Linked DNA regions of Ovis aries. The protein of the gene in region 4 interacts with the protein of the main gene of each other region in a pairwise test. Links are inferred from orthologs where the notes say so. Each region holds a gene or a part of one and is shown on either strand. Other genes may lie near its edges.

Evidence for each region. The genes of interacting proteins can lie anywhere in the genome.
Region 1: the proteins of RASSF1 (region 4) and SUV39H2 interact in a two-hybrid assay, tested with the Homo sapiens proteins (2 studies listed by BioGRID and IntAct). The link is inferred for Ovis aries from reciprocal best matches to the Homo sapiens genes RASSF1 and SUV39H2.
Region 2: the proteins of RASSF1 (region 4) and STK4 interact in binary tests that used the Homo sapiens proteins (3 or more experiments, as listed by UniProt). The link is inferred for Ovis aries from reciprocal best matches to the Homo sapiens genes RASSF1 and STK4.
Region 3: the proteins of RASSF1 (region 4) and STK3 interact in binary tests that used the Homo sapiens proteins (3 or more experiments, as listed by UniProt). The link is inferred for Ovis aries from reciprocal best matches to the Homo sapiens genes RASSF1 and STK3.
Region 5: the proteins of RASSF1 (region 4) and LATS2 come close enough for resonance energy transfer, tested with the Homo sapiens proteins (2 studies listed by BioGRID). The link is inferred for Ovis aries from reciprocal best matches to the Homo sapiens genes RASSF1 and LATS2.

Annotation. Positions count from the first base shown.
Region 1 is NC_056066.1:28,885,123-28,890,213, reverse strand, and holds part of SUV39H2 (histone-lysine N-methyltransferase SUV39H2), read right to left. Parts: intron 4,494-5,091; exon of another isoform or gene 2,181-4,493; coding exon 1,509-2,180; exon of another isoform or gene 1-1,508. UniProt on the Homo sapiens protein: Histone methyltransferase that specifically trimethylates 'Lys-9' of histone H3 using monomethylated H3 'Lys-9' as substrate.
Region 2 is NC_056066.1:73,339,679-73,344,769, reverse strand, and holds part of STK4 (serine/threonine-protein kinase 4), read right to left. Parts: intron 4,848-5,091; coding exon 4,710-4,847; intron 1,241-4,709; coding exon 1,112-1,240; intron 1-1,111. UniProt on the Homo sapiens protein: Stress-activated, pro-apoptotic kinase which, following caspase-cleavage, enters the nucleus and induces chromatin condensation followed by internucleosomal DNA fragmentation.
Region 3 is NC_056062.1:78,477,559-78,482,649, forward strand, and holds part of STK3 (serine/threonine-protein kinase 3), read left to right. Parts: intron 1-1,328; coding exon 1,329-1,493; intron 1,494-2,007; coding exon 2,008-2,175; intron 2,176-5,091. UniProt on the Homo sapiens protein: Stress-activated, pro-apoptotic kinase which, following caspase-cleavage, enters the nucleus and induces chromatin condensation followed by internucleosomal DNA fragmentation.
Region 4 is NC_056072.1:50,057,921-50,062,851, reverse strand, and holds the start of RASSF1 (ras association domain-containing protein 1), read right to left. Parts: upstream 3,671-4,931; 5' UTR 3,639-3,670; coding exon 3,389-3,638; intron 1,457-3,388; coding exon 1,350-1,456; intron 824-1,349; exon of another isoform or gene 767-823; coding exon of another isoform or gene 614-766; intron 1-613. Other genes in the region: ZMYND10 (zinc finger MYND domain-containing protein 10), read right to left, coding at 4,274-4,349, 4,430-4,555, 4,673-4,794, 4,880-4,931. UniProt on the Homo sapiens protein: Potential tumor suppressor. Required for death receptor-dependent apoptosis. Mediates activation of STK3/MST2 and STK4/MST1 during Fas-induced apoptosis by preventing their dephosphorylation.
Region 5 is NC_056063.1:35,915,707-35,920,797, reverse strand, and holds part of LATS2 (serine/threonine-protein kinase LATS2), read right to left. Parts: intron 3,053-5,091; coding exon 2,920-3,052; intron 1,812-2,919; coding exon 598-1,811; intron 1-597. UniProt on the Homo sapiens protein: Negative regulator of YAP1 in the Hippo signaling pathway that plays a pivotal role in organ size control and tumor suppression by restricting proliferation and promoting apoptosis.

The DNA of each region.
Region 1 (5,091 bases), on a different chromosome or scaffold from region 4:
TCCTATAATTAATCTGTGTGTAGTTACAAATGGAAATAAGTTGCAAATACAGGAGAGAACGTATGTTAAATCCACAGTTAACTGTATGGCAAGTTTAGTTTTGTAGAACAGGTGGTTTTCATGCAATTCTGCAACTCACGACCATCATCTATAGAGCTCCGCTCTGAAGAACACAGCTTCACCACATGCTCAGATTAAGAAACCAAAAATGTCTCAAGTGATTCATGGTGGCAACCAAATTCAGCTACATTTATTAAACTCAAAAAGAGAATGATTTGATTATATGAGATCCAGTCTCCTGAACAGTGATTTATAATAATCTGCCATTGTCTAAAAATTTAAGGATCAAAATAGGGATGCAATTTAACCTGAGAATTCTGGGTGAATGCAGATACTTAAAGGTGATCCAGTTCCAAACAACTTCTAAAATATCTGAGTTGACAACCCCAGATATGCAGTCACACTTGTATTTTTCTAGCCACAGCCTCTCCCACCATTCAGTCTGGGGAAGAATGGTGCAGGGGTCAAGATTCTAGAGCCTTGGTTTTGAATGTTGGTTCTTTGTTACTATTAAGTGTCCCTGGGTGAGTTGCTTTATTTTTCTCTGTGCCTCAGTTTCCTCCTGTATAATAACGGAGAGAATGCTACCATGTCATAGAGTTGCTGACAGAATTCATAAGTTAAAACACAAGGTGCTTAGAATAGTATGCAGTAAATACTATCTTCTGTAGATCTACACTGCATGTATAAAGACAATTTACTTAGTATTTGGTAATTTAGAGAACAGTCTTTGTAACCGAGTTACAAAGGATTTGGACATTCCTTGCTGGCGGATGCAATACCTGTTTTTATGTGTATTTTATAGTACTTGGTCATAAATCGTCCACTTACTCTACAGTCTCTCCTACTGGTACAAAACCGAGTTTTGCCGACTACGCATAATCATATTTGGTCAAATGGAGGAAGTGAATTACAATTTAAGTTTCCGGAGCCCAGCCTGGTACTCTGTGATGACCTAGAGGGGTGGGATGGGGGGAGGGAGCCCTAAGAGGGAGGGGTAGGGATACATATATATATGACTGATTTTCGTTGTTGTACAGCAGAAACCAACACAACATGGTACAGCAATTTTCCTCCAGTTAAAAAGTAACCACCCCCCCGCAAAGTTTCCAAGTCAGGATGTATTTATATCTGATTTTCAAAATTGTCTTAGGACTCTTGTGTAAAAATAGTTGTCATATTTTCAAATTTACAAATGCCAGTTTCAGTGACTATGACTGGGTGTTTGTTGAAAGATGACTACTACATTTGTCATTAATTTTTTGATTCATATTCAAGTTTATATTTTTAATGATACCAGTGAACCCTTCTTTCAAACCTGAAATTTGTACATATTTGCAACAATTATCAAAACATACCAAATGTTTGTCACGGAGGTTAAAAAGGCAACTTTTCAAAAGCATAAACCTTCCTTGTACATTATCTGCTATGAGAGAAGGTGAACGTACCTCTCCAACATATTCCATGACAAAACTCATTCTTTTAATCTTCACAAGGGTTTTTACACCCCAGCCACAGCCATTGCTAGTTCGAAAGATGCACAGTGAATACTGTGTGCCTTTCTGTACGATCCTGTTGGGACAGTCGGGTCCACATTGACACCTTGAGTTGCACTCGTAAATGGGGGTACCAGGTGGGATTTTAATTTGTTGATTTTTATTATAAGCCAAAAGAACTCCAGCTTCAGCAGGACAACATTTTTCAAAGAAGCAATCTGTGCATGAACAACCAAAGGTAGCTTCATTTACTAAGCTGATTCCAGGAGCTGGTTTGTATTCATTAATGTAGTAGAAGTCTGAAGGTGGCCCCTCTAAGTCCACAGTATTTTCAACAAAAATCATTCCTTTGTGAGTCTTCCTTCTGTTGAGTTCATCCTGCCATCTCTGCAGGGCTATCCTTTGTTTAGCCTTCTTCACAATGTATTCAGCAACAGCAGGTTTCAAGGCTCTGTGATTTTCTTTTAGAGTTACTGCTTTGCCCTTCTTTACCTGAGATAGATAATTATGCTTGTCATTAGAGAACTGCTGAAGTAGTAATGGGCACTTCAGATTTTGCAAAGGTTCCCAAGTATTTGTAGAATCTGGCCATCCTTTCCATTTTACAAGATAATATTCCATATCCTTAAAATATAAAAGAAAATGCAAATCAGATTATGACATATCCATTTACCAAAAATAATTTAATATCTTGAAGGGTATTCATTATTATTTTTCTTAATAAAATTCATAATAGTTACAGGTTACTAGCAGATGAAATACAAATCATAAAATAAAGCTGTTTTTCTTTATATTACATAAAATATGTACAGAAAACTTAGATATAGCATAATGTTTGACCACAGGCAAGAGTCACACCTGGAGAAAGATAAAAGTAATGAAATTCATGAATATGTTACCAGTGATCAAGTTAAACAAAACAGTATTTATCTTTATATGGAAATAAGTTGTACCAAAACGAATTTATGACATAGGTCAGTGGCTTGCTTGGCCAGCACAGCCGGAGGCACCACCCTCTAAGGTCTGTAATAACCAATTCAATGGACATGAACTTGGGCGAATTCCAGGAGACAGTGAGGGACAGGGAGGCCTGCAGTGCTGCAGTCCATGGGATCACAAAGAGTTGGACACGACTTGGTGACTGAACAAGGTCTATAATTTAATATTTTACATTGGATATGAGGGTAGTTCCTTTTCATTAATGTCCAGGACACACACAGCTCCCTAGATTTCCCAGAGTGAACTGTCTCCGTCATTCCTGGCTGCATGTCGCTACTGAATGTGGCTGGTCCAAACTGAGATGTGCTCTATGTGTAACACACACTGCCCTTCGAAGACGCAGCACAAAAATAATGTACACTGTTTACTTTAAAAGCACTGATTACACGTGGAAATAATATTTGGGGTTAAATTAAACGTGTTATTAAAAGAAGTCTCACCTTGTTCTTTCCATTTTGTTTAACACAGTTATGAGAAAAATTTTTTTAAGATTATAGTTGTCCTTTGGTATTCACCAGAGGATTGGTTTCAGGACCCCTCTCAGATACTAAAATCCACTATGCTCAAGTCCCAAATGTAAAATGGCACAGTATTTGCATACAACCTACTTGTATACTTTAAATCATCTCTAGATCTAATATAATGTGAATGCTATATAAATAGTTGTCAGCGCATGGCAAATTCAAGTTTTGCTTTGCAACTTTGTTTTTCAGATATTTTCTCTCTCTGAGGTTGGTTGCATCCTATGGTGCAGAACCTGGGCATACAGAGGGCCGACTGTATACACCTGTAGTTTGTATCATATTTCTATTGAACAGCACAACTCCAGAGACACTTGCCTGTGGCTGGATTAGGTGACAGGCCCTCAAAGCACCAAAGATCAAATATTTTGATTTATCTTTCAGACTGCTGTTGGTCACCATGGTACCCAAAATCCTGCTCTCCCACGCCAGGAGTCAGGCTGTGTCTTCTCCCAGTGCTGTATTAAGTTTCTCTTTAAAAAGCTAGTCTAGCGCGCGTGCATGTGTGCTAAGTCGCTTCCACTGTGTCCGACTCTGCGACCGCATGGGCTGCACCCTGCCAGGCTCCTCTGTCCATGGGAGTCGCCAGGCAAGAATACTGGAGTCGGTTGCCATTTCCTCCTCCAGGGGATCTTCCCAACCCAGGGATCGAACCTGGGTCTCTTCCATCTGCACTGGCAGGCAGAAGTCTAGTGTACACACTGTACGTAATAAATTGTTCAAGTCTCAATTTTCTTTGTTCTCTGGAATATCGAACATATACCCATGAGTGCCAGGGTCAAATGTCTTCTGAAATATAAAGTAATTAAACTGCATTCTATGGTTTTTAGTTAGCATTTTAATTCATAGATATTGATAAAAAATTAACTGGGATACATTTGATTTCCCCTGAAATTTTAAATAGAGGTTCTATTATAAAATAAGGGTGTCATACTAGTTCTAGTTTATTATGACCTGGCAGGTCCAGAAAATGTACTGAGGCACGATGGGGTAAGGAGCATTAAGGCAACCTGGCTACTCAAGGAGCTTATCTCCATGTTTTATTATATTCTACTCAATACACAATAATGCTTGTTAATGAAAAGAGCTCTGCTTCTCTGTGAAATTGGTAAAAATGTTTAGTCAAAAAAAAAGTGAATTAAATTATGGCATGAACATATGCACAAAAACTGTACTTCTATGAAAATATATACCATGATTCCAGGGAAGAAAAAGCCTAGACATATATTGAAGTGTTAGTCAAACTGGCTCACTGAAACATAACATGGGTTTCTCCCTCCTGTCAGGTGACTACAATTTGCAACTGTTGTTAGCACATAAACGCTCAATTACAATGAGGATGGTTTGGCATTGTGTAACATTACCTATTCCCCTTAATTATAAATAAAAGTTACATTTTTCTGATTCCAAAATAAAACAGTGCAACCCTGGTCCTCTTTTTTTTTTCCTGCTACAATTTTTCCTACCATAGCCCTGAGTTATACACCAGAAGTTGCCAGCAAACAATGAAACACTAAAAACACTAAGCCACTGAAGTCAGCTTTCAAAATAATACATTGTTCAATGATGAGTCATTTGCATTTTTAGTGATTATTTTGTATGTTAATTACATTGTACCTACTTAACTTATGGATGGTAAAGGTGCTTCTAAAGTATGAGTGCAATGTAAATATTAGTAACATTTTATTTCTACTTTGTAGATTTCTTCCATTTTATAAGAATGAAAATTTTACTTTTCATATATATGCCTCATTTTACTTTTTATATAAAAAATTTCCCTTTTTAAAAAATAAGATAATTTTATACAGAAATCAGTTTGACTTAAATGCAATGACTTCAATACCCTAAACTCTCAAATAAAAGACAAAACTTAAGTCTCACAGGATGTCAATATCTTATTCAGACACGCAGTCAACTCTTGATTACCTATAAAAATGGAGTGGAGTCATAAGAATGATCCATTAATCACTCCTGTATAATCTGGAATGCATCATATGAAATTTTTTCTTCAAGAC
Region 2 (5,091 bases), on a different chromosome or scaffold from region 4:
GGAAAAGGAGGAAATCTCAAATGAGGGCTAATTTGATTAAAAAGATCGAGTTCCCTGCATTACTCATATTCATCTTGCTGCAAATATTTCTGGATTTGAGCCTTACTCATAGAACTAAGAACACTCTTTTAATTCAAGTGTAGTTGGTGTCATGTCCGTGCTCAGTCGTGTCTGACTCTTTGCGACCCTGTGGACTGTAGCCCACCACGCTCCTCCGTCCATGGGATTCTCCAGGCAAGAATACTGGAGTGGGCTGCCATTTCCTTCTCCAGGGGATCTTCCCAACCCAGGGATCGAACTCAGGTCTCCCGCATTGCAGGCAGACGCTTTACCCTCTGAGACACTAGGGAAGCGTAGTTGGTGTACAGTATTAAATATGTCATTGTTGTTTAGTCACTAAGTTGCGTCTGACTCTTTTGCAATCCCATGGACTGGAGCCCGCCAGGCTCCTCTGTCCGTGGGATTTCCTGGGCAAGAATACTGGAGTGGGGTTGCCTTCTCCAGAGGATCTTCCTGACCAAGGGATTAAACCCGCGTCTCCTGCGTTGGCAGGTGGATTCTTTACCACTGAGTCACCATTATATATGTTACAGGTGGACAGTATACTGATTCACAATTTCTAAAAGCTGTACTCCATGAGAACACTCCTAGTCAACCAAAGGAAAGCATACATTTATCCACATGAGAGCCGCATATCTAACCTGCATATTTTTTTTTAACACTGCTCTAAGGAGCTAAGGTACACACCTTTGGAATCTGAGGGTTGTGAGAGAGTTTATCAGTGTAAAGTCTACATAGCTAGTATGGATACTAGATGTCCCAAAAGAGCACAGAAAAACCCAGTCTCAGACCTGAATGTTCTCTTTCCTGAATAAAAAGTTAAATAGAAGAAAAGATATGGAGGCAAAAGAATAAAATATGGAAGTGTCTCAGGAAGCACTGGGAGAAGAACAAACATCCATCCAGCAAGCCCTGGTCCACGACAGGACCCGGTGGGGCATGGAGCGTCTCCAGCTCCAGGCGGACCCCACAACTGACTCGTCTTACCTGGCTGACAATCACAAAATGACAAGCATTAATGCCCAAGGCCCACCGCAACGCCTGCACTCACAGAGTTTTCTTCCTCATCCTGGTCCACCTCCCGCTGCTGGGCCTCCTGGCGCTTCAGCTTCACGTCCATGGCTTCATTAATCAAGTCCCGCAGTATGGACACTCCTTTGGCATTCTTGACAAACGGGTGCTTCAACAAGAAAGTTGAAGATGGTTTATGTGGCACTGATGCCGAAACACTAGCCAGCACGGAGGAGGCCCTCCATAGTCTTTGCTGCATCAACCAGTGCATCTAATCATTCTCTTTATGCGTTGGGCAACAGCCAACCCTAACTCACACTCTCACCTGATGCGAAGAACTGACTCATTTGAAAAGACCCTGATGCTGGGAAAGATTGGAGGCAGGAGGAGAAGGGGACAACAGAGGATGAGATGGTTGGATGGCATCACCAACTCAATGGACGTGAGTTTGAGTAGGCTCCGGGAGTTGGTGATGAACAGGGAAGCCTGGCGTGCTGCAGTCCACGCGGTTGCAAAGAGTCAGACATGACTGAGCGACAGAACTGAACTCACACTCACTTTATAACTCTGAGCAGGCACATTCAGTTTTGCCCAGGTGTTTTTTGGCTTGGCTGGAATGTTTCCTCCATTTCTAGCAACTCTAGAGAGTGTCAACAGGCTGGCATCGACCCCCTAGAGGAAGCTCTGTAAATGTGTAGGGAGCTTACGGTTAAGATGTTTAGAGAACACAAGCTACACGGGACACAGGATAGGAAGCAGAGACACAAGCAATCTCATTCAAAATGCAGTCGTCCCGCACAAAAATACACCGTGCAGATCCCTCACGCCCCCTGCACATCTCAGAGTACAGACACACAGTGATCGTGTACACTGACACAGTTTTTCAACAGATAAGCACAGTCTGGTGAATTTGGGAGGTGATTTCAGAGAGGGGGACATAGGTGGGATAAAGACACTGTTTAGAAATCACTGAATAGGTTACTCATCCTGCTTATTCTTTCTATTCAATGTCCTATAGCATTTCCAACTGTGTATCTGGGTAAAAAGGATTTGGTGGCTTCCCAAGTGGCTCAGTGGTAAAGAATCTGCCTCCCAGTGCAGAAAATTCAGGAGATTTGGGTTCAATCCCTGGGTTGGGAAGATCCCTTGGAGGAGGAAATGGCATCTCACTCCAGTTTTCTTGCCTGGAAAATTCCATGGACAGAGGAGCCTATCAGACTATAGTCCATGAGGTCGCAAAGAGTCAGACACGAATGACTGAGCGTGCATGCATATGCAAAAAGATTTTAGTGCCAAAAGGTAGTTACTGCAGAAATACTAAAACTGGTCACACATACGTAGCAGATGTCAGCCCAAGTATTATGCATCTGCAAAGGCACTTGAAACACAGGGATATTGTTGACTTTCCTCAATAGAAAAAAGGTTAAAACTTTGGGGATTTTTTTTTTTTTTCTGTACCATGTGGCTTGTGGGATCTTAGTTCTCCAATCAGGGACTGAACCCAGGCCCTTGGCAGTGAAAGAGCAGAATCCTAACCACTGAACTGCAAGGGAAGTCCTTTTTTTTAAGTTTTTTTACTTAAGTATATAGTTAATTCACAATGTTGTACCAATCTCTGATGTACAGCAAAGTGACTAAGTTATACACATACATTCTTTTCTTATATTCTTTTCCACTATGGTTTATCACAGAATACTGAATACAGTTCCCTGTGCTATACAGTAGGACCTTGTTGATCATCCATCCTAGGCTTAACGTTTTTAACATTAATACCATCTTACAATTTTGTTGTTTGCCTGTGTAATACAATAAAAAAAAAAATTATGCTGTGAAAGTTACACAGGAAAACTCCTTTCTGGAAGAGTGGGGGTTGCTGTTGTTTTCCAAACTTGTTCTAGTACTGTCCCCAGTGTTTATCTGCAATCCATTCTCTGTTCCCCACCACCCATCAGAAGATATGGGCTCCAAGGTCTTTGCAAGAACTCTAGAAGTGGACAGGATGCCTCAACGTGTGATGGGATTAAAATATGGGAGGTATCTTTTCTATAAAACTGTATCAGTACCTCATCCAGGCAGGAAAATAATTTGCCACTACTCAGAAAAAGAACCCAGCTCATCTGCAAGAGTAACTAGCTCCTGGTTCTCTCCACTGGGCAAGTCCGTAAGTTGATTTCCCTCCTCTTATCTCTTATACAAATCAGGCTGCTCTGTTATTACTTAACATTAGACTTCTGTTAGTATCCACCCACTCATGTTCTGGTGTTTCTTGAATGGAAAGGTTTCTGTTCTTCTTACTGCTCTTAAATTTAAACTCATTCATGATGTTAGGTACAGGTGTCCGATTACTTCATCACATCTCTAAGTTGAAAAGCTGGAGCATTTCTATATTGACACATATATTACTTTATTATAAATAATTATCCTTATATTCCTCCATCATATCACAGATATTACACTGATTCTTTTTAAATTAATGGGCGTAAGTGGATTTTAGTATCTATGAGGTTCATTCCAAAAAGATAGTAAGTATTAAAAAATTTGTGTTGATAAGGCAGCAATGGATCTGACATGACTGAAAAACACTGGCCTAGCTCAATAATAGATATATGTCAAATTCATAATATATTATCTTTAATATGTGAAAATGTTATTCAAAGTCACACATATTGTATCACTTAATCTTCACAACCAACTTATGGGGCAGGTACTTGATCTCTACTGTATAGATAAGAAAACTAAACAGAGAGGTTATGTTACTTGTCCAAGGTCACAGAGCTAGCAAACAGGAAGCCAGGATTCAAACCTGGGCAGTCAGGCTCCAGAATCCAAGCTCCTAAATATTAAGCAAGAAAGTGTGAAAGCGTTAGTCACTCAGTTGTGTCTGACTTCTTGCGACCCCATGGACTGTAGCCCACCAGGCTCCTCTGTCCATGGAATTTTCCAGGCAAGAAAAATGGAGTGGGTTGCCATTCCCTTTTTCAGGGGATCTTCTTGACCCAGGAATTAAACCCAGGTCTCCCGCACTGCAGGCAGATTCTTTACTGTCTGAGCTGACTAAGCATACTGCCTGCCAAATTCCACCCATCCTTCAAGGCCCAAGGTTGAAGTTACCTCCTCCACGAAAGCAGTCCTGGCATCACCAGTTCAAAATGGTGGACCTACCACTGATCCCAGTTCTTTCCCAGAACTGGGTATGGCACTCCTGCTTTGGAGTCAAAAAGACTTAGCTCCTAAGCCTGGCTTTGCTGTTTACCAACCAAGTGGCTCTAAATGAGCCAACCTCTCCAAATCTCTGTTTTCTTATCTGTAGAAGTAAAATAACACTTCTCTCTCACAGGGTGTATGTGCGGATTAAATGGCACAACATGTAAAGGATCCAGCACACAGCAGGTGCTCAATAAAGGCCAATTCCTGTTCTCTGATCCCATACAGCCCTGTATTTTCTTGCATGATTGTCCTGTTCAGTGATTTAACATTCTTTTCTATGTCTCTTCTAAGCAGTTACATTCAAACCTCACAGGAGGCAAGGAATATCTTACAGCTCTTCACCATCTCCATGTGGGTGGGTCAACAGCATCTTGGATGGATAACCTGTGAATGAAACAGAGAGAGAGGCAGCATCCCAGGGTGAGTCATACCTGGAGGAGTTGAGTGGCTGTGGCTCTCTGCTCCGGGCTCTTGACAAGACACTGCTTCACAAAATCCATGAAGCTATCTGACCACAGTTCTGGCTTTCGGAATGTGGGGGGTGGGTTGGTAGGAATCATGAAGATGGCCTGGTTGGAAAGAAAAAAAAAAACCGATTTGGCAAAATAAAAGTGATATTCCAATAAAAATATGACTAGACATAATTTTGAAGTTTGATAAAATGATGTTCCTCTTCTCCTCCATAAGCCGATCCTAACTGCAACGAAAATCTAAGATTCTCAAAGTAGGAAGTATGACCATTAGAGCAGGAGTCCCCAGGAACCAGGCTGCACAGCAGGAGGTGAGCAGCAGGCAGATGAACGAGGCTTCATC
Region 3 (5,091 bases), on a different chromosome or scaffold from region 4:
GGTCTGCAAAGCTTTACATGGTCTGTGCAGTACTTTATGACAGTATATGTTCGTATTTTATGCAAATATAAACCACCTGGCAATTTGCTTAGAAATTCTAACACAATAAAGGTTTTTTTAAATTGAGGAAAATTCATATAACATAAGATTTACCATTTTAAAGGGGAAAATTCCTTGTCATTAGTGCGTTTGCAATATTGTATAATTACTACCCCTGTGTAGTTCCAAAATATTTCATCACCTTGCTATCCTTTAAGCAGTTTCTCTCCATCCTGCTTCTCCCTCTTGTCCCTGGCAGTCACCAGTCTGCTTTCTTTTCCTGTGGATTTGCCTATTCTTAATATTTCACATAAGTGGGATCATACAGTATGTGCTTTCTGTTGTGTCTGGCATCTTTCACGTAGCATAATGTTTTTGAGGTCCATCCACATTGCAACACATGTCTGTACTTTATTCCTTTTCATGACCAAATAATATTCCATTGTTTGTGTATACCGTAATTTATCTGTTCCTCTGTGATAGACATTTGGGTTGTCTTAGCCATTGTGAATAGTGCTACTGTGAATACTCGTGTACATGTTTGTTTGAGTACCCGTATTTTACTTTTGTCAAATGGTGATAATCTGCTGTGTAGGGTTGTTATAAAGATAAATGAGCTAAGGCATATGGAACTGTTAGCACAATGCCTAGTACAGATAGCACTGACTCTGGTGCTATCAGTACGGAAAGTCTTTACGTTTGCACCTCGCTCCTCCTTTTTCCTTCCCCTGATGGCCTGTTTTTACGTTTCCGTTCTCCTGGTCTTTCTCTGACATTCTCATTTCTGAGTTCTCATTATTAGAGTTGGAAATCTAGGACGCGGGTGTGGGAGGAGGAGTGTTATTGGTGTCCATGCTTCGTGCAGGAGGCTCTTGGCAGCTCACCCCTCCGCATTTCCTCTGCTTTCTGCGACACTGTTGGTTTCCACTTTCAGCAGGAAAGTGAGGAGGCACCGCAGGGAAGGGTGTCTCTGGATTTACTTTTTCAGGACAGACAGCTGTCATATTGCCACCTCAGAGTTAGATGGCGTAGGGAAGAGTGATTTCTTAGGGTCATGGTGCTTCTCGGGATATGTTACGTGCTTTAGGAATGACATGGATAATTTTAAAGAAAGGAGAAATTGAATGATGACGCTTTCCTTCAGGAGAAGAGGTTCTCGGTACTTTTCCTTTTAGCCTTGCTCCTAAAAGTTTATGATCTTTAGAAAGAAGTGCTTGTTAACAATGCTCTCTTGTAAGAGTTTAGTTGTCTCAGCATTTCAGTTGAGTTTTTAAAATATTTCTTTGCAGTTAACAGAAGATGAAATTGCAACCATTCTCAAATCTACTTTGAAAGGACTAGAATACTTACACTTTATGAGAAAAATACACAGAGATATAAAAGCTGGAAATATTCTCCTCAATACAGAAGGACATGCAAAATTGGCGGATTTTGGAGTTGCTGGTCAGTTAACGGTAAGTGTAACACTTTTGGAAGCACTGTTGGTTTGTATTGTCCAGGTTCGAGTGTGACTAAACCTTGGTAATATCTTTTGAGGGTTATGAAAAGAAATGCATAACTTCATTGCTTCAAGGAGAAGAAGCCATTATTTAGGTATTATTTAATTATTTTTTTATTTACCGTTTAAGAGACATTGGATGAATATGAAAGAATATATATTGCCATCAAAATGCTTAAATATTTGGAAAGGAAAGCTGCATTTGTTCATTTCTGTAGGTTTTATTGTTATAGTGCTATCTTTAATGAAGGTAGTGGAGTTAAGTTACTTATGGACTCTTGGTTATTTCAGAATTCTAAATTCCTAAATATGTCATGTCACTACTGGTTGAAATTTTAGGAAAATAGTCAATTTCAGATATAACCTGTAGTATTTGAGGGTTCCAAATATTTAGTTTAAGGAATATGTTGGCAAATGCATTTCCTTGGTGTTTTTGTAGTTGCAGTTATATCTATGTAATATTCTTGCAGGATACAATGGCAAAACGCAATACTGTGATAGGAACTCCATTTTGGATGGCTCCTGAGGTCATTCAAGAAATAGGCTATAACTGTGTGGCTGACATCTGGTCCCTTGGCATTACTTCTATAGAAATGGCTGAAGGAAAACCTCCTTATGCTGATATACATCCGATGAGGGTAAGAAAATGATGGAAAATGTCAATGTTAAAAGTGCTGCAGTTTTGTAGTGTGAGTGTAAATAAACATGGAGTAAAAAGATCATTTGAATTTGGAGTCTGTGCAAAAATTAGCAAAATTATCTGTCAGGGATTTGTGACTGTTCACTTCTTTCCACCATCATATCCTTAACTGGGAGGAAAAGAAGTGAAGCCTGTATTTCTCTCTACAGTGGCTGTTTTTCTCCCCCCAAAGTATACCTGCTAAATTTCCCCATGATTTAAATAGAAGAAAGGGCTGGTAAATCCACTACATTATTCAGTTCCTCATATTCTGAATGTAACAGTGGAGGCTTGGAAGAAATCCATTCTCTTCTACTTACCCTGCATATTGTACCTTTTTGTGTTTTTGTTTCTCTAGCTGAGCTAATATTAAAAGGGAATCCCGATTTCTAATATTGCTATGTATCTGTAAGTGAAATAAGCTTTTATTTTTAGTGTTCAGCAAGAAAATGAAATTCCTTTTATGGATATTATTTTATGCTTGTATGAACTCCTTTTCCATGATAAATTTTTGAGTCTGAAATGTATAGATTGCATATTCAAGTCTAATTGCCACTGCTTTAGAGGTGATGAACAGTTTTTAAATTTATTAGTGTGTGAGTCTCAATTCATTATAGATAAGTACATTTATCTTTGTAAACGTATTGCCCTCTAGTGGCTGTATTCAACTCGAGAAGAAAGGATATAGGAATGAAGGCAGAAAGAAGGTGGAGGAGGGAGAGGGAGAGAGAGAGTCTGTGTGTGTGTGTGTGTGTGTGTGTGTGTGTGTAAAGAAAAGAAGATGATTTCAGAATAGATGGAGAAATGTGTGAAGTAAATAGATGGGAGGAAAAATAATGCCATATTTTAGAGTGTTTGAAAAAGAAGAATAAATTAAAATTCTGATACTATAGTGCTATTATGAATTGAACTTCAATAGTGTAGATAATAATGTACTATACTGAAATATTTAAAAATCTGCCTGCCACTTTAAAGAGAACTCTTTGAGGAACATAATTGTATATGATATGTATCGTCTTCCTTGTACATGTAAACTCCTCTTGCTAAAGCGAAACAGAAAAATAGCATGAATTCTTTGAAAATATTGACATGAAATATAACTAGGTCAGCATAAAACAATCAATAAAATTCTCATTTCTTTTCTGATTATTAGATATCTTTGGTACTTTCAGCTAGAAAGTTTTTGGGGTGATCTTCAGCTAGATATATTTGAGTTTAGTGAGGTTAACCAAAATATCCAAGACAGCCTAGCTAAGTGCCAGAGCTGGGATTTAACCCAGAACTTAAGAGTATTACTGTTCTGCTTCCTCCAGTATAAATCTTATTTTTTCCAACCAAACAGTTCCACATATTCAGTTTGACCATGAGGTAGTCTCTTTAGCAGATAGCCAAGGATTTAAAAAATAAAGCGCAGAGTAGCTTCTCTCATTGCAAATTACGTGGCACTATGTCACAACCAAGTATACTCCTAATCCAACATGATTTCTTTTTAAAAAAATTTTAAAAATGTTTATATCCAGGTCTTAAGAATTGAAAACTGAGTCAGTCATTTTTTAATTAAAAAAATAAAACGGGAATCCATGACCTCCTTCCTTCCTGCCCAATTAATAATAGAACCAAGTTGAGAAATTCTGGACGACTGGGCTTGGTTAGAGGTGCCAGTTAAGTTGTCCCCACCCCCGGCACACCTGCACATCTTCCATCCCCCAGTTCCTGCTGCGTGTGCCTGGGTCGGCACCTGGCCCATCTCAGTGTGTGTGCACAGGACTTTGCCCTCTGACATCGTATGGCCAGAAATTACAACTCAGCGACAAAGCTCAGGATTCCCTTTTTCTCTCGCTTTTTACATAGTTAAATTTTAGCTCGAATGACATGTTCTGTGCTTAACAAATCTACTTTCTTAGTTTTCATTTTATCTTTTTTACCCCCATGGTAATTTCTTAGGGCTGTCTTAACATATTACCACAAATTTGGTGGCTTAAAACTATAGAACTTTATTCTCTTACAATTCTGGAGGCCAGCAATTTGAAATGAAGGTGTTGACAGAGCTGCACTCCTTCAGAAGCTCTAAAGGAGACTCCGTTTTCTGCCACTTCCAGCTTTGGGGTGGTGGCTGCCAGCAGTCCTTGGCATTCCTTGGGTTGCAGCTATATGTCCCTGCCTGCACCTTTTACATTACTCTCTCCTTTGTGAGTGTCTGCGTTTCGCTCTTCTGTCTGTCTCAGATTTTCCTCTGCCTTTTTCTTTAAAGGACAGATGTCATAGGATTTAGAGCCCACTCCAGTAATCCAGAACAATCTCCAACTGCAGGGATTTTTTTTTTTTTTTTCCCAAATGAGATCCGGTTTAGAAGTTTTGAGTATTAGGATATAGACATATCTTTTGGGGGCCACTCTTCAACCCACTATATCCTCTCTAATCTGTTCCCTTTTTTCAAATTATATGTATTTAAGATTAGTAACAATTAATTTCAGGATCTATTTTCCTTGTCTTTTCTCAAATTTTAAAAACTGTGGTAAAGTATTCATAAAAATGGTATCATTTAAACCATTTTTCCAGTATACCGTTCAGTGGCATTACAGTACATTGACATCACACTGTCTACTACAGAAATATGTATCATCTCAAACTAAAACTCTATACACATTAAAAAATAACTCTTTATTATCTCCTCCCCCAACACCTTATAACCATAATTCTCTCTGTTTCTATGAATTTGACTATTCTAAGCATCTCATATAAGTGAAATCATACAATATTTGTCCTTTTGTGTCTGGCTTCTTTCACTTAATGTTTTCAAGGTTCATCCATTGTTGTAGCATATATCCAAATTCTTTTTTTAAGGCTGGATAATATTCCATTTTATAAATACCAC
Region 4 (4,931 bases):
CATTCCCAGATCCCCTGGTCTGCTCTGATTTTTTTTGTATATACGCTGCCCAAGCGAGTACTCCTGGTCCACCGAAGAGGAGGGGAGACTGAGAATCTTCCACATTCCAGCAGCTGGTGACAGGCCGGGACCGGCAAGAGGTGGGGACCAAGCTAGCTCCATCCAGGAGTGGAAATGGAGGGGCCTGGACCTTCCTTTGCCTCTCTCCTAAACACACTTCTCAATTCCCGGCGAGGACTCCTCCCCATCCACTTCCTCCAGGTCCCCCAGAGAAGGGGTGGGAGCGCCCACACGCGGAAATCGAGGTGCTAGTCTAGACTGCACAGTCAGCCTTAGTAAGGGGTGGATAATGCCTGTCCCTGGTCTACCCCAAGCCACTCAGCTGCTTCCCCTGGTTCAACCGGTCTGTGACAGAAACAGCAAGGGCTCGGCACCCAGTACCGATGTGCTGAAAGCCCGACACACGGTTCCGAGGGCTGGCCCCGGTCCGATTCGAGATCCACGCTGACAGGAGGGCGGAGCGGCCCACAAACTCTCGAGACTGCAACGTACCGTGGAGGGGCGAGATGCCAGAGATCGCCCCCGCCCGCCTCCCTCAACCTCCGGTCCCCACCTGGTCCCGACGCGGCCTGCGCGCCAGCGAGGTACGCGCAGTGAAGTACTGCTCGAGCTCTGAGTCCGAGTCCTCCTGGCTGCAGTAGCCACTGCTTGTCGTGCTGTTCCAAGTCATCTCGAAGGAAGGCGTTCCCGCGTCCGCCTCACCCATCGCCGCGCCAGCCAGCCCACCAGCCCCGGTGCACCGGTAGACTCCCACCACCGCCCCAAACGCGTGTGCGCGTGCGCGCCCGTATATGAGTGTGCGTGCGCAGGAACCAGTGTCCGAGCCGCAACCGTTAACACTGAAACGTAGACAGCCAAGACATAGCTGTCATCTCATTGGAGGAGGGATGTCGAAGGGCGGGGTCACACACGCCTCGCCTCCAAGAATGATCTCAGCCCTGGGGCAGCTCAGTTCAGCGCAGTCTCGCAGGCCCCGCCTCCCAAGGGACACTATGGGGCTTGTGCGCGTGTGCACCAGCGTGGCCTCGAGGCCGGATGCAGCTGCGGGAAGGTGCGGAAGTTGCACTTGCGCGCAGTCTGGGCGGCTCCGGGCGGTTAGGGCCGAGTCAGCACCCCCCGGCACCCCTTGGAGCCCGCGCGCAGAATTAGCCACTCTCTGCCTCCGGGAAGTCGGCTATCAAAACGTTTATTGCGCGTAGCGCCGGGCGGCCCTAGGGAACGCCTCCAATGTGGCCCCGCTCGTCCACGCATCCCTGCGTTGCCCGTAAGCTCCCCGGTCCCGCGCTCACCACATTCGTGTCCCGCTCCAGCGCCGGTTCCCAGCCCAGGTCCCGGGGCCCGCAGCAGTCTAGGGAGACGAGCGCGCGGCAGCGGTAGTGGCAGGTGAACTTGCAATCTGCAGAGAGGCCTGGCCATAAGGTGGAGGAACCCCAGCAACCAGCTCGGAGGAGCGTCCCGGGGACAGAAGCGAAGCCCCGGGATGAAGGCCGTTGCTCGTCGTGTTCTCCATGACTGGCCTTATCTTAGTCCCCGTTAACACCCACTGCCACTCAGATTTTAGAGTCTCCCCTGCCGCCGCGCCTCCCCGTTCTGTCCCCCCCCCCCCCCCCCCCCCCCCCCCCCCCCCCCCGCCCCGGGCCTGGAAACTGGCAGGGAAGACTTCATGCTGTTAGGGATCCAGGCCTGCTCAACAGTTGGATTTCTAGCGCCTAGGGCAGAACTTCCCCTTCCTCATTATCAGCGTCCCTCCCTCCTCCCATTTACTGGAGGGGGAAACAAAAAAACTTTTAACTCAGTGCCTCTTCGTGTCATTTTTCTCTATTCCCCTTACACACAAAACTTACCAACACTGGTCTCTTACTTAATTCCTCGCCTTCATCCTCTACCCATTCCAGTCTTGCTCTCCTCCCTCCAGGGAACTCAGAGACCGAACCGCGGAATGCGGTGGTCCCTTCACCTCTTCAGCATCGTCTGATGCTTGCTCTCCGGATTCCCCGGGGGCCCTCACTACCGCGGTTTTCCTCCCACCTCACTGTAATCCCTGTTCAGGGGGCTTTAGTTCTGTTTCAGCTTCCAGATCTAATGGTGGAGAGTCCGAGGCCCAGTCCTGATCGCTTTTCTTCTCTGTGTACACTGACCTACCTTAGATCCAAGGCTTCCATCTGACCTCCTTGAGATCAAATTCTGTGTCAGTATCTTCATTTGGCTGTCCAATAAACAATTCAACCAGACATGGCCAACATTTAACTCACTTTCCTACTCCTTTTAATTCTTCACTTCTCCTCACCCTTGCCCTTGCCAGAGTTCAACTCAGCAAAAAACAAAAACCAGACCAAACCACCCCAACTCATCCTTGATGCCTCTCTTGTTTCTGCTTCTGACACACACCCAAATTGTCCTGTTTTTCATTCCCATGGCCACTTTATTTCTCCTTGGGAACACTGCTATCTTCCCAGCCCTTGTTCATGCTTTTTGTATGCTGCCACAAGTCCCATACTCGTCCTAGCTGAATAAAGACAAACTCCTGTACTAGATGAGAGGGTCTCCATCACACACAGGCTTGGGACATCTTCCCTAAGTTCCTAAATGGGCCAGAGCAGTGATTCTCCACCCAGGCTACACATTAGAATGACCTGTTTTTAAAAATCGCTGGTACACTCTCAGTGACCTGACTGATTCAACAGGTCTGCAGTAAGATCCAAGGGTAGAGGTTTGGAGGGCTATAAAAGCATCCCAAGTGTTTCTAGATGGTGTATGGCCAGTGAGACAGCAACCTCAGCTTGCTGGTGATTTCTGGGAGGGCAGAAGCACCAACTGGCGTGTGGTTGCGTTTCATGTTTTAGCAGCTGGCTGACTGAACTTCCAATAGGTATTTGCTAAAGACAGACTCAAAACTCCTGCTTGTAGCCCTGTGCCCAAGTTTCTATTTCCAGGCCTTCTCCCATAGGTGGGTAAGTTCCCTTCACCACAGGGATTCTCCTGGGGGACTTGGCAAGTGAATCTTTCCAAAGGGGTAAGTGTAAGAATGTGAGTCCAGAGACTGACAGGAACAAGCCTTTCTCAAGAAGGGCCAAGGCACTGGTTAAACTTGAAAGTAGTACCTTGTTTACAGAGAAGCACGTTTGCCTAACTGTCTCAGAGGCAGGTGGAGCTTGGCAAGGTTATAAACTATCAGCCCGCACTCTCTTGTGCTATGGGGCAAAGGTTACAGACCTGGTCTGTGGGAACTGTCCCCCCTGACCCCCTCCATCGCAACTTGGCCCTCAGCGACGGGGCTGTCCCTTGGCTGCCCGTTTCGCTCCCGCCAGCTCTTGGGTCCGCTACTCACGCGCGCACTGCAGACCCTTGCGCACGACGCCCCAGATGAAGTCGCCACACAGGTCACACCACGTGTGCGTGGCGGGCCCCGCCGGCTGGAAGCGGTGGCCCCGGCCCGGGACCTGCTGCCTTGCGGCGTTGCGAGCTGTGCCCGGCGAGATGCGCAATGCATTGGCACGCTCGAGCCGAGTGCGCCCCGGGGCGGCGCACCGTTCGGGTGCCAGTTCCCGCAATTCAATGAGCTCAGGCTCAGCGGACATGGCCCGGTCGGGCCGGGTCTCCGGCCGGTTCTGGGCGCTAGCGAGCGCGGGGCGGGCGGGGCCGCGGGGCGGGCCCCGATTCGGCGCCGCCTCCAGGATTCAGGCAGAGCGGCGGGAGAGCAGAGGAGAGCCGCGCAATGGAAACCTGGGCGCCCGCGCTGTGTCGGCCCGCAGGCGGAGTGGGACGGCGGGTGCGGCTGGGGGCTGCTCTCTCAGAGTCCCCGCCCTCCGTTTCCTATCCTCCCTTCATCCCGCGAGCCACTCCCCTCCTCTTAACAACCACGACGACCTCAAGGGGCCACGAGGAAACAGGCGTGTTTGTGGAAGCTAGCTTTACTTTACAGTACTAGAGGAAGAGGGTCCCCACATCCGGCCCTTGTCCCCTCCCCCCCGCCCCCCGCCCAGGCCTCCTGCCCCAGCTTGGGGAGGCTGCACCCTAAGCCTTCGCGCCTGATAGAGCAGGAAGTGGGGAGCGCTTAGATGGGGGGAGATGGGTCAACAGCTCTTCCCGCCTGCTATCCTCACCACCCGGGAGGCTGGGGCACTTGCAGAGGCCAGATTGAGATCCAGAGGTTTTGGGGGGACACTTGAGTGGGTTGTAGGCACGGGTGGTTGGCCCTCAGCCGCTGCAGCCTTCACTTGGCTCTGTCCCCCTGGGCTGCCAGGACACAAGCCTTTCCATGCTTCTCCCAGTGCTTGACTTGGCACTCCCTGCAGGCAAATGGGCCGGTGAAGATGCAGTGATCCGAGGGGTATGGGAATGGGGGTCCAAGGTCCTAGGATGCCCTCACCTGCAGCAATACCACTCATTCTGGCACCGGGAGCAACGCTTGGAGGCCTCTGCACTGCAGTAGGCACAGCGGGGCCGCTCTGGAGCCACTGCCTCGAGCACATCCAGCCTGTAGGTCTCAGCCCACCTGGAAAAAGGGTCCGGAAGGACTTGCTGGACCTGTGGGTGGGGGGACAGGGGCAACCCCACCCACATCCACGCCGCTGCCTCCCTTCTCCTCTTCTGCTGGCTTAGCAGGCCTCACCTTCGCGCCTGCAGCCTCAGGTCCTGTTCCGAGGGGCTAAATACATGCCGCAGCTGATGCTTGGCGATAGCCTGCCACTTGCCTTTGTTCTCTCGCTCTAGCCGCTCCCAGATTTCTGGGATCTGGGGAAGAGAAGCAGAGAGTGGCAGGGAGGAAGAGCTGGTCAAGTGAGCAGTGGTCCTGACCAACTAACTTCCAAGAGCCTACCTGTTCCAACACCAGGTCCTTCTTAGGGGGCTGGGCTTCGGTCAGGGCCAGG
Region 5 (5,091 bases), on a different chromosome or scaffold from region 4:
GTTGACTTTTAGGCTCTAAAAACTAAAGACAACTTGTATCACTAAAAATTTGTGCAAAAGGGGACCGTAAAATTCCTGGAACTCTAAGAGCAATGTAATAATTTAATGACAGTTCAGAGGAAAACGGGAAAACAGAAAAGTCAATGAAAATGGAACAGCATTTTCACTGGAATCCGATCTTATTTTTAAAACTTTTTAGAATCTGAAATCACCATAGCATTTCTATAATTTCACTAATAATTAACGTTCCCTAACAGCTTAGTGTCAACTAGCATCTACTTCAAACATTATTTAACAACTATAGACTTCATTAAGAATGAACTGAATCACTAATAGCCATACTTCTCTTTAAAATTCCCACAATGTCAATGTGTAAAAAAAACTCAAGTTTTCTTTCTCCTCTTTCAAAGTGTTTCTTTACCAGTTGGAGAGCCTTGATGGATTTGCTCCCCGGAAAGGACACGCCGTAACAAGCGACGCGTTCGTTCACCGGGGGAACATCCGCACAGTCCTCCCCACCCCGAGCCGGGACAGGGGACACGATGCGGGGGGGCTTCTCCCACTGGGACCCCGACACCAGGCGTGCCCTGCGCCCACCTTCGCCATCTCCTGCTCCAGCTGCAGCCGGCGCGCCACCTTCTGCTGGTGGGTCTTGAGCACGTTCTCCACGTGCTGCTCCATGAAGAACTTGAAGGCCGAAGGCGAGTAGCTCTTGATGCGTGACTCGCGCCTGTCCTCGTCGCGGCTGCCCCTACGCACGGGCACCGGAGATGTCTGGATCTGCTTCCGGTCCCTGCCCACCCTGTCGGCTTTGGTGGCCCCGGGGCTCGCGGGGCTGCCGTCGGGGGGCTCAGAGGCGCGGCCGCCCCGGAGGCCCTGCTGCAGCCCAGCGCACAGCCCGTCCACGTCGAGCGGCTCGGCGCGGGCCTGCGGCCGCAGCAAGTGCCGCGGATAAGGCGGGGGCCGGCCCCGCGCCTCGGCGCCCCCTGAGAGCTCCTCCGCGGGTTCCGGGCCGTCGGGCGGGTGCGCCGGTGCCCAAGCGGGGTGCGAGGGCCCCACGGCCGTCTGGGGTTCAGGCCGAAGCACGCGCACGCTCCGCACTGGATGCAGGATGCGCGCGGCCGTGACGGCCGTCACGGCGTTAGGCGGGGCCGCGGCGCCGCTGAACGAACCGGTGCGGCTGGGGCCCGGCTTGGGGAGCGAGTCCCGCCGGGCCAGGCTGGCGCTCGGCCAAGGTGGCGCGCCCGGCTCGAAACGCTCGGCGCCCAGGCCGGTGCGCGCGGGGGCGGCCAGGCCGGGCGGGGCGCTGTCGCCGGCGAACGCGGCGCCCCGGGGGGCCCCCGGGTGTCCCTGGTGTGGCGGCTTGGGGTGCGGGGCCGGAGCGTAGGCGGCGCCGGGGGCTGGGAACTGGAGGCCGGGGGTTGGCACCGGCGCGGCCGCGCCCTTGGCGGCCAGCCCCGCGTACGCGCCGGCCTCCGGGGTCGCCTTGCTTTGGAAGGAGGAGCTGCGCTTGACGCCATAGCCCAGGGGCTCCGTGGGCACCAGCAGCGGGGCTCTGTAGTGCGCGCCCCCGGGACCCGCGAGGCTCATGCGAGCTGCCTCCCCGGCGGCCGTGTAGCCCTTGGGCGGGTGCGGACGACAAGGAGGCCCGACGCCGGCGAAGAGGAAGTCCGGGTACGGGCGGGGCGCTTCCTCCAGGGCGGCGGGGCCCTCGAAAGCCGGCCCGGCCACCTGCGTGAAGGGCGGGAAAGGCTCGCCCGGTGCTTCGAAGCTCGGCCTTCGTGGCCCGGGGGCCGGCGCCAGGCCCTTCCCTGCGGGCAGAGACGGAGGCGGCGTTAGAGGGCCGCGAGCAGAAGGCCCCGCGTCGCCGGTCGGGTACCCTCCTCCTAGGGCCGCAGGAGCCCCGGCAGAGCCCCCCAGGGGAACATGAAGCACCAGCGCCGGGGCTGCCCCCAGGGCCGGGGCGGGGGATGAGCTGTCACCCAGACCCCGAGACGTGGCGGCAGCAAGGCGATGCTTAAGGGCGTTCCTCAATCAAGAGAAGCGAAATGTGACGGGCAAATGTCCGTGTTCTCACCGTTTTCACTCTGCGTTTCTCAGTCAGTGCCTGAGACAGGTGGTTAAATTCACCCACAGTGAAAATATGTTTTTCTATTGTTCTTTTAATTCTGTCAATTTCTAGTTTATATATTTTGAAGATATGTAGTAGATAAATACATTTTTGAAATGTTATGCCGTCAAAAAAAAAAAAAAGAAAAGGGAAACCTGTGTTCTCATCTCAAGGAAGGTACAATGCATTTAATACAAAGCCCTTGCAAGTTCCTCACTCAGCAGATGAACTGGGTTTATCCAAGGTCTCCAGGGAAAACTCCTTCTGGTCAATATCCTGAATCCCTTATTGCCCCCCAGGGGCCTCAGGTCCCCAAAATGGCTCCATCTGCTCTACCCAGGAAGAGAAACACCCACTGACTAGCAGGCAGGGGTGCTGAGGCGACTGGCCCTCCCTCCCCGGGAGTATGGTGGGAGTGGCTTTCCCACACCTCTGCCTGAGGCACTGTACTCTGGAGCCACCTGCCACCGTGCAGCCTGGTCTCCGAGCTCACAAAGTGGGAAACAAGTGTGTTTTAGAATCAATGAAATAAGCCTCCCCTTAAGACTCCCGCACAACTCCAGAAGAAAGAATCTGCTGAGTGGCCTAATTTTCATTTTGAATTTTCCCTTTCATGAACAGAACTCCACAAATCCCCAGGAAGTAAGGACCCAGCTAAGTGTCGATCTGCCCCCATTCTGGGGTATATAGGATGTTGGGCAGGGCAGGTTCAGTCCCCGTATCCGGACTCCTGTGAGGGAGGTGGTCTGCGCGATGGCCATGAGGCCCTCTCCCCACAGCCGCCTCTCCATAGCCTCCAGTGCACTCACCTGGGGAGGTCTGCTTGACGACCCGAACGATCTGCTCCTTGCCTGGCTCCAGGTAGCCCATCTTACTGATGAACTCCAGGGCGGCCTCGATGCTGCGGCTGCCGGTCTGCTTGAGGGCCCTGCCCGCCATCTCCTGGAGAGGGGAGCACAGAGACATTAGCTGGGGGCCTGGGCATGGGTCACCTGAAGCTTCCAGGGACAGCCTTTCTGTACCACACCCGCCTCCGAGTCAGTGGAGCAAGAACTGCTGGGGACTTATCTTGGGGCTGATGAACCTCACACACATTCAGTGCAGTCAGTCAGTCGTGTCTCTTTGTGAGCCCACGGACTGCAGCATGCCAGGCTTCCCTGTCCTTCACCAACTCCCGAAACTTGCTCAAACTCATGCCCATCGAGTCGGTGATGCCATCCAACCATCTCATCCTCTGTCATTTCCTTCTCCTCCTGCCTTCAATCTTTCCCAGCATCAGGGTCTTTTCCAGTGAGTCAGTTCTTCGAATCAGGTGGCCAAAGTATTGGAGTTTCAGCTTCAGGATCAGTTCTTCCAATGAATATTCAGGACTGATTTCCTTTAGGATGGACTGGTTGGATCCCCTTGCAGTCCAAAGGACTCTCAAAGAGCCTTCTCCAACACCACAGTTCAAAAGCATCAATTCTTCGATGCTCAGCTTTCTTTCTAAGTCCAACTCTCACATCCATATATGACTACTGGAAAAACCATAGCTTTGACTAGAGAGACCTTTGTTGGCAAAGTAATGTCTCTGCTTTTTAATATGCTGTCTAGGTTGGTCACAGCTTTTCTTCCAAGCAGCAAGCATCTTTTAATTTCATACCTGCAGTCACCATCTGCAGTGATTTTGGAGCCCCTCAAAAATTGAGTCTGTCAGTGTTTCCATTGTTTCCCCATCTATTTGCCATGAAGTGATGGGACCAGATGCCATGATCTTCATTTTCTGAATGTTGAGTTTTAAGCCATCTTTTTCACTCTCCTCTTTCACTTTCATCAAGAGGCTCTTTAGTTCTTTGCTTTCTGCCATAAGGGTGGTGTCATCTGCATATCTGAGGTTATTGATATTTCTGCTGGCAATCTTGAGTCCAGCTTGTGCTTCATCTAGTCTGGCATTTCGCATGATGTACTACTCTGCATGTAAGTTAAGTAAGCAGGGTGACAATATACAGCCTTGATGTACTCCTTTCCCAGTTTGGAACCAGTCTGTTGTTCCATGTCCAGTTCTAACTGTTGCTTCTTGACCTGCAAACAGATTTCTCAGAAGGCAGGTCAAGTGGTCTGGTATTCCAACTCTTGAAGAATTTTCCACAGTTTGTTGTGATCCACACAGTCAAAGGCTTTGGCATAGTCAATAAAGAAGTAAATGTTTTTCTGGAACTCTTGCTTTTTCGATGATCCAACGGATGTTGGCAATTTGATCTCTGGTTCTTCTGCCTCTCACATACTGACCCCACCCAGATCTTTGATCTCTGTTTCCTCTTCCTCACACAAACTGACCCCACCCAGATCTTGATGGTAGGCCTGGAAGACTTTGTTCTGCTCCTCCTGAGAAAACTTCTGTGACTGGATGGAGACATTCCTGTCTGGTCTGTGGAAGTCAGAGAATCAGCCTTCCCCCACACTAGGGAGGGAGCCAGGGGAAGGGCTACAGTGGGTGAGAGAGCATGGGTCCCCGGGACAGGCCTGGCAGGACAGCTCCCCCCACCTCTTCCAGAACAGTCCTGGAAAGACAAGCAGCCCCCACCCCCCAACACTGCTAGGATGAGTTTCGGGGAAGAGGGCCAGAGAAGGGAGAGGAACCAGGGACTGTCCTCAGGCCAGATGAGGACACACAGCTGGCTCTTCAAAGACAGCAGGATGTGGGCAGACGGAGGAGAAAAGGTATTCTTGGCTGGTAGTCAGTCAGAGCAGGGTACGGGGAACCACAGACCAGTCAACTGTCCTGAACCTTCTATTCTCTTCACATGTCCCTGTGTCCAGAAATGAGCATGACAACACCTGCAGTCTCATGTGCACAGGCTCAGCTCTGCCCCTAGAATCTTGATGGCCTGCAGTCTGCTCCAGGGGGCAGGATCAGGCCAATGCCAGCCCCCAGACTCAGCTACAGTTCCAACATGTGAGCAAACAGCCTGGATGCTCAACCCCACCAACACAGCTGGACA